Lytechinus pictus: one gene and its partner. The protein of the gene in region 1 purifies or fractionates together with the protein of each later gene. This does not show direct contact. Links are inferred from orthologs where the notes say so. Each region holds a gene or a part of one and is shown on either strand. Other genes may lie near its edges.

The links. The genes of interacting proteins can lie anywhere in the genome.
Region 2: the proteins of proteasome subunit beta type-3-like (region 1) and proteasome activator complex subunit 3-like purify together in Homo sapiens (affinity purification with mass spectrometry; 4 studies listed by BioGRID and IntAct, with this or other methods). This does not show direct contact. The link is inferred for Lytechinus pictus from reciprocal best matches to the Homo sapiens genes PSMB3 and PSME3.

The regions. Positions count from the first base shown.
Region 1 is NC_087257.1:9,034,886-9,043,194, forward strand, and holds the start of proteasome subunit beta type-3-like, read right to left. Parts: upstream 3,448-8,309; 5' UTR 3,360-3,447; coding exon 3,357-3,359; intron 1,089-3,356; coding exon 904-1,088; intron 1-903. UniProt on the Homo sapiens protein: Non-catalytic component of the 20S core proteasome complex involved in the proteolytic degradation of most intracellular proteins. This complex plays numerous essential roles within the cell by associating with different regulatory particles.
Region 2 is NC_087257.1:14,471,649-14,479,627, forward strand, and holds the start of proteasome activator complex subunit 3-like, read left to right. Parts: upstream 1-4,705; 5' UTR 4,706-4,846; coding exon 4,847-4,870; intron 4,871-6,715; coding exon 6,716-6,748; intron 6,749-7,771; coding exon 7,772-7,834; intron 7,835-7,979. Other genes in the region: uncharacterized protein LOC129275040, read right to left, coding at 367-1,871. UniProt on the Homo sapiens protein: Subunit of the 11S REG-gamma (also called PA28-gamma) proteasome regulator, a doughnut-shaped homoheptamer which associates with the proteasome. 11S REG-gamma activates the trypsin-like catalytic subunit of the proteasome but inhibits the chymotrypsin-like and postglutamyl-preferring (PGPH) subunits.

The sequences.
Region 1 (8,309 bases):
CAAAATTTTTATAGGCCATTTTGAGAATTTGTTTAGCTTTGACGCGTGCGTCATGACCTTTACATGACCTTTGATGACATTGACAGACAACCTTTGACCTAAAGTTTATTTGATGTAAATATGATTGATTATCCGTTATGTTGATATGATCAAATTAAGAATTTTACAAAATGGCGCGTAGATGACGTCATCATGACCAGATGACTTTGAAAAGCTTAGTATGCCGTCTCTATGATAGACTATATATGACAGAAAAATCAGCCAAATTGATTCAGCCAATTCGGAGAAAAGTTGGCGACAAACATAAATAAATAAAGAAAGAAAGAAATAAAGAAATAAAGAAAGAAAATTCTGACGAAATTAAGAGGTGATCTGTCAGAGTCAGACCACCTAATTATAGGGTGTTATAAGAATACATTTGCGATCAATTGCAAAGTTCTGTTGCAATTTTACAACTTGCAAATTGATCACAAGTTTCTTGCGATAACTGTAGCATTTTGCCCAAGGCAGGCTTGTCCGACATACCCATGGGTAATAAACAAATTGTAGGTTCCAATAATCTACAGGACAGGGCCATTTTTCTATACCTTTTCTACCAGTACAAATGGGAATAATTGAAAAAATAAGACAAAGGCACATCCAAGATAGTAAAACATAGCCTGTAATGAACTTGATAATGAACAGCTTATGTTTTATCTTCGTTCAGATTTTAATCACTTTGTTACTAGCTTACATGTACATCCATTCCACTTTAAAAGTGTCATCTTTTATGATATTCTTGGCTCTTGCCATCTCCAAATTAAGAGTTTCTGTCAATGAATGCCTTTTTTAGAATTAGCATAAAAATGTTAACGTGTGTTTTATGTATGAATGATACAGAGGTCTTGCCATTTCCATACTTACACTGTAGTTATATCAGTTGCTAGCCCAGAGATTCCCAAATAAAGCCTTGGTCCCATCTCAAAGATTTTCTGTGCGTTCATCGAGACGGTCTGAGCTTGTACTCCAAACCGTCGATCTGACGCGATCCCAACGCAGTCTTTCCCTATCATGGCCACAACGGCCGAGCCGTTATATGACATAATAGACTGAAATATAAGAAAATGTATAAGAAAATGTGTAAGTGTGGCAAGAAATAAACGTTCAAAACAAAAACCTGGAAAACTATTTTCAAATGGCTTTGGCTGGCTAAAAGGTGCATGCACACATTGTTTGCTCATTTTCTAAAACAATCCTTGTGAAGGAAAAAAACAAAAAACTGTTTGCTGTACCAGGCCGACCATAATTAAAACCCAGACTTTTATTTCTTCTTTCAATTCTGAAAAAATAAGTGCAGACTGACTTTGAGTCCCTTCATCTTTCTTATTATTCTCCCCGATTTCTTTACAAATAAAAAAAAAACTTGATAATTTTGGCAAATGAAACAATCTAGAAAAGACTAGATGACCCTCAAATTCCTCAATCTTCGATTTTAAGTGGATCATGCATAAAAACGGCCGGGTTCCCATCACACACATGCAAAAAAGAGCATTTCACTCTCTCTAACGTAAAAAAAACAATAAAAAAAATAAATAGAAAAGGACCAAAGACAACTTCTGATAACATTAACCATGGTCTAAATTAACATTAGTTATCTTCTTAAGTGGATGACACATTTTTGGGGCTTGCTTGTTTGTTGTTGCTTTTTTAATTTTATCATTTTTTTTTCATTTAATTTGATGGTCCAGCACCCGAGTACAGTCCATAATTTGTCATGCTAAACATGATCCATGGTAATGACTTTGTGGCAATATTTTTAGATGGTTTTTAGACCAATTTACCCATTTGATTACCGGTTTTATGGCCTTAGTATCATGCAATTAGTCACCTCTCTTCTCGCGTGTCAGTGTGTGTGTGCACTCGTTGAAGTCAATAAGGTTTATCGCTATATACGTGTGAGGAAAAAGATACTGGCCCAAAATCACCAATTTTGAGGATAACCGGAGGATGGACACGGAGTGAAATACGGGTGAAGAGTAAGAAATTAAGCTATTTTACTTTCTCGTTATATTTTTTTAATATAATTTTAACAATGAATAACATTAACGCGATTTGCGTGCTGTCGCCAAGCGGAAGACAAAGAAATCAAGATGGCGACGTAAACACGGCCGTGAGCTCTTCCCATCTTTTCATAACATTTTTCTCGTTTTTTTTATTAGGCCTAATTCTTCTTTAAAAACGAAATTGATATCGCAGAAATGTTGGAAATGAAGTTGAAGTGAACCCATGTACCGGTAGGCCTACATGTTTTATAATACTACTACTAGGGCTAACCCAGAGAGCTCCAGCCCGCGTAGCGGGCTGGAGCCCAGACGCTCAGTGTGCAAACGGGCATTCAGGTGAGAGTACCGTGAAGTTTGGTCAAAATAATTTTGATAATACATAATTAAAACAGAAATTAAGCACTTACCACGATTGTATGGATGATAGTCTAACGAGTGGCAGTTTCCTGACATCGAGGCACAGACTGGAACCTCAAAAAACGATCAGTTCTGTCGCGGTGGCTCTCCTTCTTTCAAAATTCATAGCAAAATGGCCGTTCGAGAGGGTGTAGGGCGCATGCGCGAATTTGACAAAGTCTATATGCGCTAGTGCTATACTAGCCTCGGTCTCGATCGGCCATTTTGTGTTGAATTCTGAAAGAGGAGAGCTACCGCGACAGAACTGATCGTTTTTTGAGGTTCCAGTCTGTGCCTCGATGTCAGGAAACTGCCACTCGTTAGACTATCATCCATACAATCGTGGTAAGTGCTTAATTTCTGTTTTAATTATGTATTATCAAAATTATTTTGACCAAACTTCACGGTACTCTCACCTGAATGCCCGTTTGCACACTGAGCGTCTGGGCTCCAGCCCGCTACGCTACGCGGGCTGGAGCTCTCTGGGTTATACTAGGTCTAGGGCTAGATCTTTTAGTTTTAGAGGGAAAGTAGAAATCTCAGGGGCGATAGTTTCAGGTTTTGTGGCCGTACGTGCGTGATTATACCTTGGCGTCCCAGGCGTCAGTGGGGAGTAAGCCTACGTAGAGTAGATGACTTTTACTCCCCAGACGCCTCCAGGCTACTTCGCCCGAGGCAGAATCTTCATCTGACTTGTGCTCCGCCGCAGCGGACTTCGAGAGAGACTCGCTCGAATTCATCGCGGTAGAGACTCCCCGACGCCACCCCGAGACACGGTCATGCTCTCGCAGGTCAACTAAAACTAAAGTCAAACTTCGTTCGCTCTTCTTTCTTATACAATAAATACATGTCTTACATTCTCAAATCAAAGGCATTTAAAAGCAAATACTTGACTTTAAAATCAATCACATTTCTTACCATTATGCCTAGATTGTTTGTATCCCCGGCCACAAACAAGACAGATTTTTTCCAATTCCTAAAATGTGTCAATTCACGATCGTTTGTAGACTTTCTCTGTTTCGACAAAGAGGGCTCACTCATGAAATATTCTATTTCTATCTCTTTCTTCTTCTTCTTCTTCTTCTTCTCCTCCTCCTCCTTCTTCTTCTTCTTCTTCGTCTTCTTCTTCGTCTTCTTCTCCTCCTCCTCCTCCTCCTTCTTCTTCTTCTTCTTCGTCTTCTTCTTCTTTGCCTCTTCCTTTTCTATTCTTCTTATTTATCCATGTTCACCTTTTTTCTTCTTCCTTAATCTCAGTTTTCCTCTCATTGCTCGTAGGCCTATATAGTAGGCTTTCTCATCTTGTAAGATACGAAAATTAGCCCGATGACATTTTAAACTTTTTTTTTTTTAAATAGCCTTAAAAAATATATATATATCTCAAAGCCGGGATCTCAAGTCACAAGCGTTGATGGAAGTTAGACTGTCTTGACCTTTAAGAAAATGGGTAAAAATAATTGCGACGATTCCTAATGGTGGGTGAGTGTTCAAAAGTCCCCATCCCATACCTCTGACTGACTTTAAACCTGTTTTTCCTCCCAATAAGCATTCGATTTGTTTTTTTCATAAACTTCTTGATAAAGGTCCTTGACAAGCGATTTCTAGGGCCATTTCTCGAAGGTGGGTACCTGCAATTATAATGGCAATTTTATATGGTAAAAGATAGCTATTATGATCCTGCCATCACCCCCCCCCCCCCCCCCCCCCCCCATCCGACGCAGCGTAATTTCATTATACGCCCATTATTCGTCTAATTCCCATTAAGGTTACACCAATTTCGTTTGCTAACACCCATATGATTATCAACCAACTTTTTTATTTGACATAGTGAGAAAAGGTATAGTAGGCCTATTACAGACTAATGATAATGACGGGTAACGGTTTAGAAGAAGTAATTATATGAGAGGGTAGATATGGGGGCCCCCAATTTATCACGACCAAGAAAAAAAAATGAAAGAGAAGGAAAATCTAAAATTATTATCTGAATATCATGTCAAAATCTATCACAAAATTTTCTTTTGGTAATAAAAATATAAAAAAATTTGCTCTCTCGCATATTTTTCCAAATTAATTTGGCCCTATACGGCATGTCTGGCCCCTTAAAACTGTTTGCTCACTAAAATGACGCTAGTGTTGGTGAGGGGGTAAAAATATTATTATCAACATTTCCCCCATTTGACGCCTAAAAAGTTTATTTTAATTTTTTTTACCGCGTTTAGAGGGCTGTACTAACCAGAGAATGACGTTTCATTCATCTTAGCCTTATTATTCGCCAAGATCTCAAAGGGTCAAGTCCACCCCAAAAAAATGTTGATTTGAATAAAAAGAGACAAATAAAAGAAGCATAACAATTAACCCTGAAAATTTCATCCAAATCCGATGTGAAATAAGAAATATATCATGATGGCATTTTAAAGTCACGCTTATTACTCACAAAACTCATGGATATTGGCTCTATGCAAATAAAAGCGTTGATGATATCCTTCACTCACTATCTATTTATTTTATTTTATTTTTTATTGCTTGAATTGTGAAATATTCATTTCTTTTTACAGATTTGACAATAATGACCCTTTTGTCTGAACCACAAAATGTTGAAACATTGATAATCACATACTAGAAATTAAAAAAAGTGAAATTCTAGCTAACTTTTTGAATCACTAACTGTACTTTCTAAGCCTTATTTTTTGTACATATAGAGGTGCATATCTCCATTTTCTCACTACACAGTATGTTTTCAATAGCAAAGCTTTGCTGTTGGGGACATTGGCACTGACTAACAAGTGTGTCAATATTTTCGCGTGTTGTTAAATTCGCGGCCGATCGGCAATTCGCGAAATCCGCGAAAATAAAACCCCCGCGAAAATTACAGCTTGTACAGTACTGTGTTCAGAAAGGAATAAAACTTCGATTCACATGACAATCAGTGGCGTAGCTACGGGGGGGGGCCTGGGGGGCACGTGCCCCCCTGAGATTTATTTTGGTGTGCCCCCCCCCCCCCAGGTGCCCCCCCCCCTGAAAAAAATGGCAGAGCAAAAAAAGGGAGAAAGAAGAAAAGAAAAAAGGAAAAGAAGAAGAAAAAAAAATAAGAGGAAGACGAGTGAATGAAATAATGTGAGGGGAAGACTTGCAAAAAAAAAACAATTTTTGCTTGCACTTCGCGCCAGAATTGCCTGTTCGATGAGATTCATATCTTGCTCAATAGGCTGATATGGAGCAAGCTTTGAAGTCAATATACAAAACATATTTTAGCTAGGACATCGAGCTTTCATTATTTTTTTTCATTTACAAATTTAAGTGCTCTGTAAAATGTCCGTTTTATGGTCTACATATCAGCATTAAGCTCACGCTGCGTGGTCACATTGTTTGATTTGCCAAGTTCATATTGTCTACGTGTCCCGGCTACGTGTATTCCATAATGTTCCATTAAACAAATGTATTCAGAATGCCCAGATTCTAGGTCTAAATCTAAAACATGCGCGATAGCCTGCATGTTCTTTATTTAAAATGTAGTTAAATTATCCAGTTTCACATCAGAATATCAATAATTCGCGCTCGCATCAATTGTTTAGTTACATACCTATCCCATTTATTAATACAAAAAATGCTTAGAATGACCATTTTTTAAAAGTCGGAATGTCAAAAAAATTTGCTCGCGCTTTGCGCTTGCATTATTGAAATATATACCGTCTTCCTTGACAGGTCCCTTTTCGATAATGCTAGAACAGTTAATAAAAATTTCTGCTCACGCTTGGCGTTCGCAGTAACCATCTTACATACATATCTTGTTCAGGATCACACATATCATTGCCCAGAATATCAAATTTTCAGGACAAAATACATAAAAGTAAAAAAAATCGCTCGCGCTTCGCGCTCGCACTTTTTTATAAGGCTTATGAGATTATTTCATGTTTATGTTGTTTTATAAGAATAAAACTGAGAAGTGACTGATCGGGGAAAATATAGGTGAAGATAATTTCGGGCACCGTCCCCTATTGGCGAAAGTCGGATCCGCCCTTGTGACACATACACACACACCGGAAAAAATTGTGCCCCCCCCCCCCCAGGAAAAATATCCTAGCTACGCCACTGATGACAATGAGGAGATAATTAGATTTTTCATATTCCATGCTGTAATGAAATACAAAAGAAATAGTGAGTGGATGAATGCAATCGGTCTCCTCATTTGCATACCGACCAGGATGTGAATATAATTGTTTCGTGAAACTTAGCAAAACTTTAAAATGCCATATTATTTTACATCCGATTTAATGAAATTTTCAATGTTATGCTTGTTTGTTTTTTCGCTTTTTATTGAAATCAACTTTTTGTTGGGGTGGACTTGTCCTTTGAATAAATAATGAGAGCGTACGAAGCGTGAGCTATTTTTTCACTAGTTCATTATTTCATCTATTCACAGCTGAAAATTAAATATTCTGAGCAGCCTTTTTTCTGCCTAATCATGAACAAGATGCGTATAGTCTGTGCTTGTACATAATAGCGCGAATCGCAAACTGTTTTTTTTTCTTCAATATATTGACATCCTGAAAAGGACTCAACAAGGACTATTTGCAGTGATTCATGAAAAAGGGTACATATCTCACCAATCAAATAATCTGAGCGCGTAGCGCGAGCTGATTTTTTTTTTGGGGGGGTAATCATGAACAGGGCCCGTAATTTCCCTGATGTAGAATAACAAAAACTTAATTGAATAGCGAACAAAATTTTTTTCTTTCAAATTATTCTCTTCGCCTTACTTCATGAAATTTCTTCTTTTTTCCCGTATAATTTTGTTTTATCTATCTATTTCTTTTTCTCCTCTCTGTAATGGAATAGCGCCATCTGTGGCGAGTTACATTAGAGTGCAAAACAATGGGATCCAGACCATCAGTGATCCAGACATGGAGGTGGATAAAGCTTATTATAGATTAAATTGCCTGGTTCAAAAGTATATCAGTTTGAAGCCTCCGATAAGTATTTGTAATACTGTAATTAAGTTGGTAGTTACAGTAGGAGTAGAAGAAACAACAAGACAAAATACTTTCCTTCCTTTTATGAGCCGACAATATGGGAGGGGCACGGCCCTTGATTCGCCCGACCCCTGGCCTGATGACCCCATCCCAATTTTGTGTAAAAATTGAATATAGAAATTACGTTTATAAAGCATTTAAAAACAAATTTCTTGGGAAAACATAATTAGAATTCACTGCAAGGGACTATAATTATTCATAACTTATAAAAACTATCCGAAGATTGCGAGCAATGAAATATATTTAAAAATTGCACTAAGTAAACCTAGAAGAAAAAGAAAATGAAAGTGTTTAGCAAAGGTATGTTTGCAAGGGGGGGGGGGGGACACACTCGTTGAAGGACCCGAGGTTACTATCTAATCACTTCTAGATATACTGTATATAACTTCCCCTCATCAATGATTTTTTTTTCTTCATTTTTTTCACTTAAGAAATTGAAAACTTTAAACAAAAAAGTGCCATCAATGTTTATTTTGTCTTTGAATATAATATAAACCCCTCAAAAAAAGTTTGGAAATCTGAGTTTGGCCATTAATTTCTCCCAACTCCCAATTTAACACAATGCATATTTGATATCATTTAAAAGATCATTTAATTTTCTTTAAAATTATACAATGCCTGTTATAATCATGCCATCACGAAAAGAGCAGGATTCAAAAGTTTTGGATGAGGTCTGAATTGAAAAGCAGCAAAACGAGCAGAAGTAGTCATGAAGGGTCAATAAAGAACATGATGATTTTGTCTGTGTCAATAGAGATAAAAACCCATTCAAATCAAGCCGCTGCTTCTTCATTTTTTATGTTTTGTTGTGGTTTATGTAGTAATGGTTATGTGAGATAACATG
Region 2 (7,979 bases), about 5.4 Mb from region 1:
CGGATATTTCTTACTTTCGTCACTGTCGCAGAGGTATGTATGGATTTGCCAACTTGCAAGCATTTCACGTCCTGAATTAGATTTGTAATTTTTCGTTAAAGGGGTTATTGCATATTATGTTTTAATTGGCTATATTCACGAGTAAAAATTTATTCTACTGTACATAATACACTCTAAAAAGGGTTTACCCAATATTGCGTAAAATGGGAACATGCATGTTGGTTGGGTAAAAGATATCAATATTTTGTCAAGAAATAACCAAATATGGGTTAAAAAAAATAAAAAATACCCAGCAAACATGCATATTCCTTTTCCACCCAATATTGGGTAACATTTTACTCGGTGTTTTAGAGTGTATATAATTACCCATTTTTTACGAAGTTGGTCCAATATTGAATCATAACATCACGAACTGACTCGGACGTACTTCCAGGAGGAGCATTCAAAGCCGTCTCTCTGCCGAAAATCGAATCCCAGAGGTAGAACAATTCCTCGCCCTGAACTGCCCTGTTTGGATCCCGGAGAGGGTCATCTATCAGTCTATAGTTTGTGTCCACGTAGTCAAAGTAATACAGATATGCATTTGTTTCGGTGCTCCTCTGGTGATTGCGCAAGAGTTGAATGGTTTTAGAAAGGTAGGACCGGTCAGCGTACATTTTAAACATAAAGCGTATTGCGCTTTGCGTATCTGGGAGATCTAGAAGAGGGCCATCGTACCTGTAATCGATGGCCTCCATTGTAAGTAATGCCTGGTCATCAGTTCTATACCTCTGCCTAGTATCGTAGTAAACAAAGTTCGATACATCCTGGACAGTCTGAAATGCCTCATTGACATCGACGTACCCATTTAAGAGCGCTGCCCCTTCGTCACTGTTGACTCCCATCAGAATGTCATATTGGTGTAAAAGATCCATATCTTGTAGATTATCGAGGGTACGTGGAAAGAAGAGCCCATCAATCCGTGGTTCAAAGTAAGCACCCCCGAGAGCGGTGTAATCGACAGCTACGATTTCTTCCCATGTTTTATTCCGAAGACAAGCTAGATTTTTTGTCCATGATCCTTCAGTGCAGTTCAGGGTATTAATGACGATATTGGACAACCTCCTAGCCTGACCCTCGGAACTGATATAGGAAGCATCGGTTGATGTGCTGCTCTGGATAATAGCTCTTTGGAATAGGTTATTATCGTTTAAAGGAGTAAGAATCTGAGCTACAACTCCTGTAGCTCCCTCACGCCCTTGGCCAACAATGGTAATCATACTCCCGTCACCATTGAAAGCTCCGATGTTATCCCGCACCCACTGTATGGCAAATCTTTGATCCCAGAGTCCGTAGTTCCCCGGTACCGTGTCATCCTCCGTGCTGAAGAAGCCGAATGTGAGGAATCTGTAGTTGATGGTGACGACGATGATGGAACCTTTGACGGCCATATCCCTCCCGATGTACTCCGATCCCGAATAAGCTCGGTACCCTCGACCTGGTATGAACAACATGACAGGCAGTTTGTTATCTTCAGTTGCTGCTGGTGGTACAAAGATGTTCAAGAAGAGACAGTCTTCGCTTATCAACAGATCATCAAGATCTTCCACTGGTGATTGTGGACAGGCAGCGCCAAAAGTCGTTGCATCCAGTGTTCCGTCCCAAGGAAGCTTGGGTCGTGGACGAGCAAATCGAAATTCTCCCACTGGGGGTTCTGCGTAAGGAACACCCATGAATTCTTCCATTGCGTTGCCGTCAAAGTCATAACTGTTCCCTTCGACCTCTCCCAATCCAGCAACGTTCACTGTCACTTGAGCAAACGAAACATGAATGTCGATGATGAATAAAAGTAAAAGGACAGTAACCAGATGAGATGCCATGACTAGCAGCATTGGTAAGTCATCGACATCCACAACATTTAAATAGCTTTGAGTGGTCGCTTAATAATTTCTGCGGAAACTCTTCAAACCTATATATGCAACCTTTCCCGGATTTCTATGTGCCACACCTTTGGAAGATAAACGGTGATTGGTCAGTTATAACTGCTGTTTCACTGTTTGATTTCACCCTTTTGTCTAGAGGAAAATGATCACCGCAGGGACAAAGTACGTGGTATTAGCAAACATTCCGACACGTCTGGCGCGAAATGACTCAGCATCGTGTAACGTAGTCATATGGTAGTGCAGATCTCTGCATACAACTTTGAAAAATATTTATGAAATCAAATAGCAGGGGGTAAATATTGAATCATCCGAGAGGCACTTGTTGACCTTCGCATGCTTTATTATCCTTCTTCTCAGTAAAGCAGGAAAGTTATACATTAAAAAACCCCGAAAACTTCCATTTTGTAGAATAGATGACGAAATCCTTGTTAAAAATGAGATGACGTATTAATATCATACGAGCAGTTGTTCATTCACTCACGAAATTGGTTTTGAAATCCATGACTATATATATTTTAGACGATACCATCTTGAATACATTAGAAAGTAGGCTATGATTGATAACGCAAAGACAGCGAAATGTAAAGATAAAAAAACAAAACAGAAACGAGTCGACAGACCTTCAATAAAGTATGATAAGTGGTGAGAGTGATACAATTCTTACCACGGGAATATTAAGATTTAATTTTATTTATTCATTGAAAAAAAAAGTAATGGGAATGTAACATTGGTAAACGTAAACCCTGCATGCGATCGGATAAGCAAAAAAAAAATTACCTATGCTGCCCTTGGGGTGCCCATTGTCAGGAGGGGTGCATTCTTTTATTTTCCTGCCAACTAATTTTTCCTGTATATAATTCCCTGCTAAAATTGTCTTACAACCAAACAAGAGATCATAAAAATTATATAGGGGCGCTTACCCCCTCCCCCTCCCTGAGCAGGCCCGCGCGTGCAGTCGTGATTACTTAGGACGACTACTACGAAGCCATGCGAACCATCGATGTCACTTTCCGAGATGAATTGAATTCATTTATTTTCCATTAAAAACATGCAAAATCAAGAATATACAAACATTACAAAGTATGAAAATGAGACATTGTACAAATTACATATCATACTTTAAAAATAAATACATATAAAGGAGAAATTATATTTCACTAAAGATCCCATATTGATCTTAAAATTTCTGTGATGATGAGAGGTAAATTAGGCCGGAGCACCAAACAGTAAGTGGCGTATCTAACTTTTGTCAGAGTGAACTTCCGGTCCTCTTTAATTGATTCAGATCCCTTAACAAATATATTGAAGAAAAAAAAGAATGAAAAAACAAATTATAAAAATACATGAGAAATTTAAAAATAGGCCTACAATAAACTACATAAGAAATTAATTATGTATTGACATTCTTTTTTGGGGGGATGTTTGTTAGAAATGTCAAATTTATGTTTTCACCAAAAATAAGCATTCTACAAGCAATAATATGAGTTAACAGCAAAATGTATTTTCAGACACTAATTTGCATCATTTATTTTGAAATATGAAGTTTTAACTTGTTGAAATTTTTCTTAACATTTGTAGTTTCAAAAACCTATAGGCATATATGGGGGTGCAAATTTTCGCCAAACAGTCTGGCAAACTGACACTAAACATGGTGTGAAAAGGCACAGTTAAAGAGATCGATGCATACTGCGGACTGAAAATAGTATAAAAATTCACAAAACAAAATATGATGAAAATTTCATCAAAATCTGATAATAATAAATAGCAAAGTTTTGGCGTATGTGCATGCCAGGTCTATGTAATACATGAAATATCGAGACATTATTTCTCCTATTAATCCTCACCCCCATCGAGCCCTTTGTCAAAAGCTGTATGGATCCGCCCCTGAATAAAAATTCACTTAAGGCGGACGAAAATCCCCCCCCCCCCCCCCCATTGCGATCGACATTGCCAGAGCCGCGCATGTGCGCGCTGCCGAGGTTGTCTGTCCAAGTCAATATTACACGTATAGTCAATAGAACCAAATCTGCCGAGGAACCAAATCTGCAAACATCAAGCTGCGTTAAACCTGGCGGATATGGTTCCGATTAGGGTTGGTGTTGGAGTTAAGTTGGCGCTCTTCAATCTGGTAGATTATCTGCGCCAGGTCGTTTCCGAGTTAGCTGCTTAATTCCCGCATCAATGTCCTCGGCGTTAGACTAGTCTGACCTGTCATATAGCGAGGTGCAATATAATTATGATTAGTTACCACCACCATTAAATTGTGCGTTTTTGTACTTCATAGTATGCAAACTTATATAAGAAGCTAGGTCGAAGCTCAATTTGAGTAGTCTAAGGATTGTCACTAATCATCAGAACAAAAGGAAGAGAGAGAGAGAAAGAGATGGAGAGAGATCAGTGGAATATTCTTATTCGAATCTCTTTGTTTTTTTCCACGTAATTCAGGATAACTTTATAATCTGCATTTCTTCCCAATAATGTTGCTAGATATGATATTGGCTTGTTTAATTTCAGGCTTCTTTGCATAATTCTCCTTTCTCTTTCATTTTTCTTACATTGTAGTAAAAAATGTTCTATTGTCTCAGGAACCTGACAATGGGAACATAGACCATTTTCATGTTGATTAGATTTATACAGATAATAATTCAATTTACATTAAAAACGATATCGGCCATTTAGAACGATATCTGCCGGCGGATACGGTATCCGCCGGTGGAACCAAATCCGCCGCTACACCGGCTGTAATTGCCCTCCCCACCCCCCCCCCCCCCCCCCCCTCCGATCCCCTATCGATAAATCTCGAGCGCGATATCGGATGCGCATGCGTGACACATGTGTTAATACTTAATGGTCGGTGAAAGGCATCTGCTGGCGTAAAATCCCTTGATTTTGACAAATATTGGACTAAGAATTAAAATATCACCATGGCTACTGATGAGGTACATGAGGTGAGATTGAAATTATAAAATTTTTCATGTTTTATTCAAATAATTGGCAAGAAAATTCTAAAGGACCGAGTATGCAGGTTATTCATCACAGTCCCGTACTATCATATCTGCGTGGTATTTCTGGTAAACGAGCCACATAACGTCGACAACAACGTTTTTATTTTATTTAGTCTATATCTAACAAGTTAACTGTTAGACAGTATAGGGGCGGCCCAGTATAGGCTTAAGTTATAGATCTAGTCTACTGCCCAACTTTAGCAAAAGGAAGCAAGTGATGCATCAGTCAAGTTTGAATTATTGAACCGGCCGTCTCCATGCCATGCCATGCCAGGCCATGGTCTCTGACGTGTTAATCAATTGTGGGGATTGGGATTCTGGCAAGAAACCGGGAGGGGGGGGGGGCACTCAGACAGCATATAATGCGTGGTGGTGGGTACATGCATGTGCCGCGGAGACGACCCCCATTTTTACACTCCTATTCCTAATAAATTTCCATTCAAAGTAGGGTGTCTGAAGCCACACTGAAAAGTGTCAGCATAAAACAGGCTAATTTAGGGGAAAATATGGCACATTTTTTCGGGGAAGTTCAGGCTACTAGAAAAATGTGATCTGAATTGATTATTAACTTGTGTTTGGCATGTATGGAAAGAGAAAATTCAGGGGCTTCTTTTGACAGTAAGGACAAGTTTATGTGATCATTTGAAATAAGGATTTAGAGATAAATTGCTAACCCTTATTTTTGTGTGTGTTGAGATTGCCATTTCTCCATGCGTTTTCTATGGGGAAATGAAATTTCTGTTTTGCACAATTTTTTTCACTTTGTCGCAATTTTTCATTGTGATCTGGTTTCCAAATCTTTATAAAAATCATACCATCAGATAGAGCATAAAAAATCCTATTGGACTCTTTATGGACAAGTTTTTGGCATTAATAATGAATTTATAACAGCTCTTGGAAGCTAAAAATTTGGATTTGTGTGTGTCCATTTCTTAACTACACAGTCTATGGCAGAGAAATGCTGAAAATTGACCTAATTTCATTCTTCTTTTTTGCAGCCAATAATTTGATTTTTTTCAAAAATGTTACATTTCTGTCAGTCTGAAGGTCATTTCTCTTCAAATTCACAAAGAAAATGTGATATTTTCTTGAAATAAGAAAAATAATTTTTTTCTCCAGACACCCTATTCAAAGGGCAAGACAACATTTTTATTCGAGAAAAAGAACAAAGAAAGTTGATCCAAGGCCTTGCCAAAGCATTTTCTTCTTATCAAGAAAAAAAGAAGAGACAAATCTGTTCCAAAGCAAATGCAAAGTTTCGCATACAATGTATTTTTTGTAACGCCGTTCCGGCCGCATTGATCCGCTACAGTAAGCTGCATTTTTGGTAGACGGCTGGCAGCCGTCTGTTTCGAGGAGTTTTTTAACATTTTTGATTTTTTTTTTAAATTTCTCCTCGTACACAGTCGACGGCTCGCTATTGTGCAGCCACCATTAGGGGGTTAACAACGTGTTGTGCTCTCATTCTAAAAATCAAGCTCTCTGTAAATCTATCGAGTGAAATTGCGATTCCAAGTTCTTTTCTGTTAGTATTTCCAATGCAAAAAGTAGATTGACAACGGTCAGATGGTCTTGATGGCGATATTGTTGAGAGAGCATGTCTACAGACTACGGGGCCACAGACATGCAGACATTGATTAGCTGGAGGGGGAATTGCCAAACTTAATTAGGACCTAGATCTGATTAAACGGGCTTAACGTTAGATCCAACTCTATCGTGTGGCAGCTACATAATAATGTTTATTTTCCTTTTTTTAGTTTCATTTTTTCTGTTTGATTCTTTATCCAGGTGACTGAATGCAAGGACAAATTACATGAAATGGTAAGATCAAGTCAGAGTCTCGTCAAAGATCCATTACTTTGTAAGGCCTGATAACCTCAACCTTGATTGCAAGAGAATTGAACAAATTGAAAATTACCTCTCTATTCTCTCGCCAGGAAAGCTAGGATAGGGGCTGATATGATTTTTTTTTAGCTTTTGATTCAATGCTCAGATATTTAATTATTGTATACTGACATTTTGTAAATTTGCATTGCAAGAGATTGATTTAGTTGAACACTTTCTGATACTAATCAGGCCTAAGACGATGTCAAAGAGTGTCCAGTATTTAATTATTGATGATTTTGTTTTGTTAAATGGCATATCATTGTCCACACATGTACTTAGTCCTTGGAGTTGCTTGTTTTAGTTTAACAAGTTAGATTCACTATTGATTCTCAATCATGTTTTATTCATATAATCACCAAGTTGAAACATTTCACAAAGCTCTCATGAGTGACTTCACTTCACAAACGAGTGGCGATCCTTTCTTGTAGTACAGTAATACTTATGTGCACCAATTTATTATTGGTGTTGATTAAGCTCCTAAAAAAGGATGAGCAGTTGTTTATAAAGTTGCTTGTAGCTTACGAATAGCTTTATGAAACACCCAAGTGGCCCTTTCAGATTGAAATTGCTGTTAATAAGCATCTGAATGCAAACTTCATTTATCTAACTTTAAATAGTAGGGAATTCACATTCGCTCCTACTTTGTTAAGAAAGGGAAAATCTGCCTTTGCTAAATCTCAAGAACTGGGGATGAAGCATCTTATATATATCACCAGTTTTCACTGATCAGCAGATATGTGCCAATCAGATGCAAGTATTTCTGTAGCCTACATGTATAATGTAATGATAAAAATTACTGACCTTTTGTTTCATGAAATGCTCCCTAAGTGTGCATAATTCATGATGCATAACTTAGGAACAGCTTTATGAAACAGTCCCCAGTGCAATAATGTTTGAACTTCAAGCAAAAAATGATCATAATTTTTCATTTTTCTCCCTTTTTCTATCGCCGATCAGTCAGAGAATCTAGTGAAAGTTGTGTTCCCCAAGAAGATTCGAGAGTTAGGGGAATTAGTAGAGGTGAGAATTTCTTAAATTCTTTTGGTAATTGTTCTTGATTTCATTCATATTATGCATCTCCAGCTCTATCGTTCAACCCCCTCCCCCTTACCCTGTCGCAATTGGTCGATCTGTCGATTTTTAAACCATTTGTAAAACTCCTCTT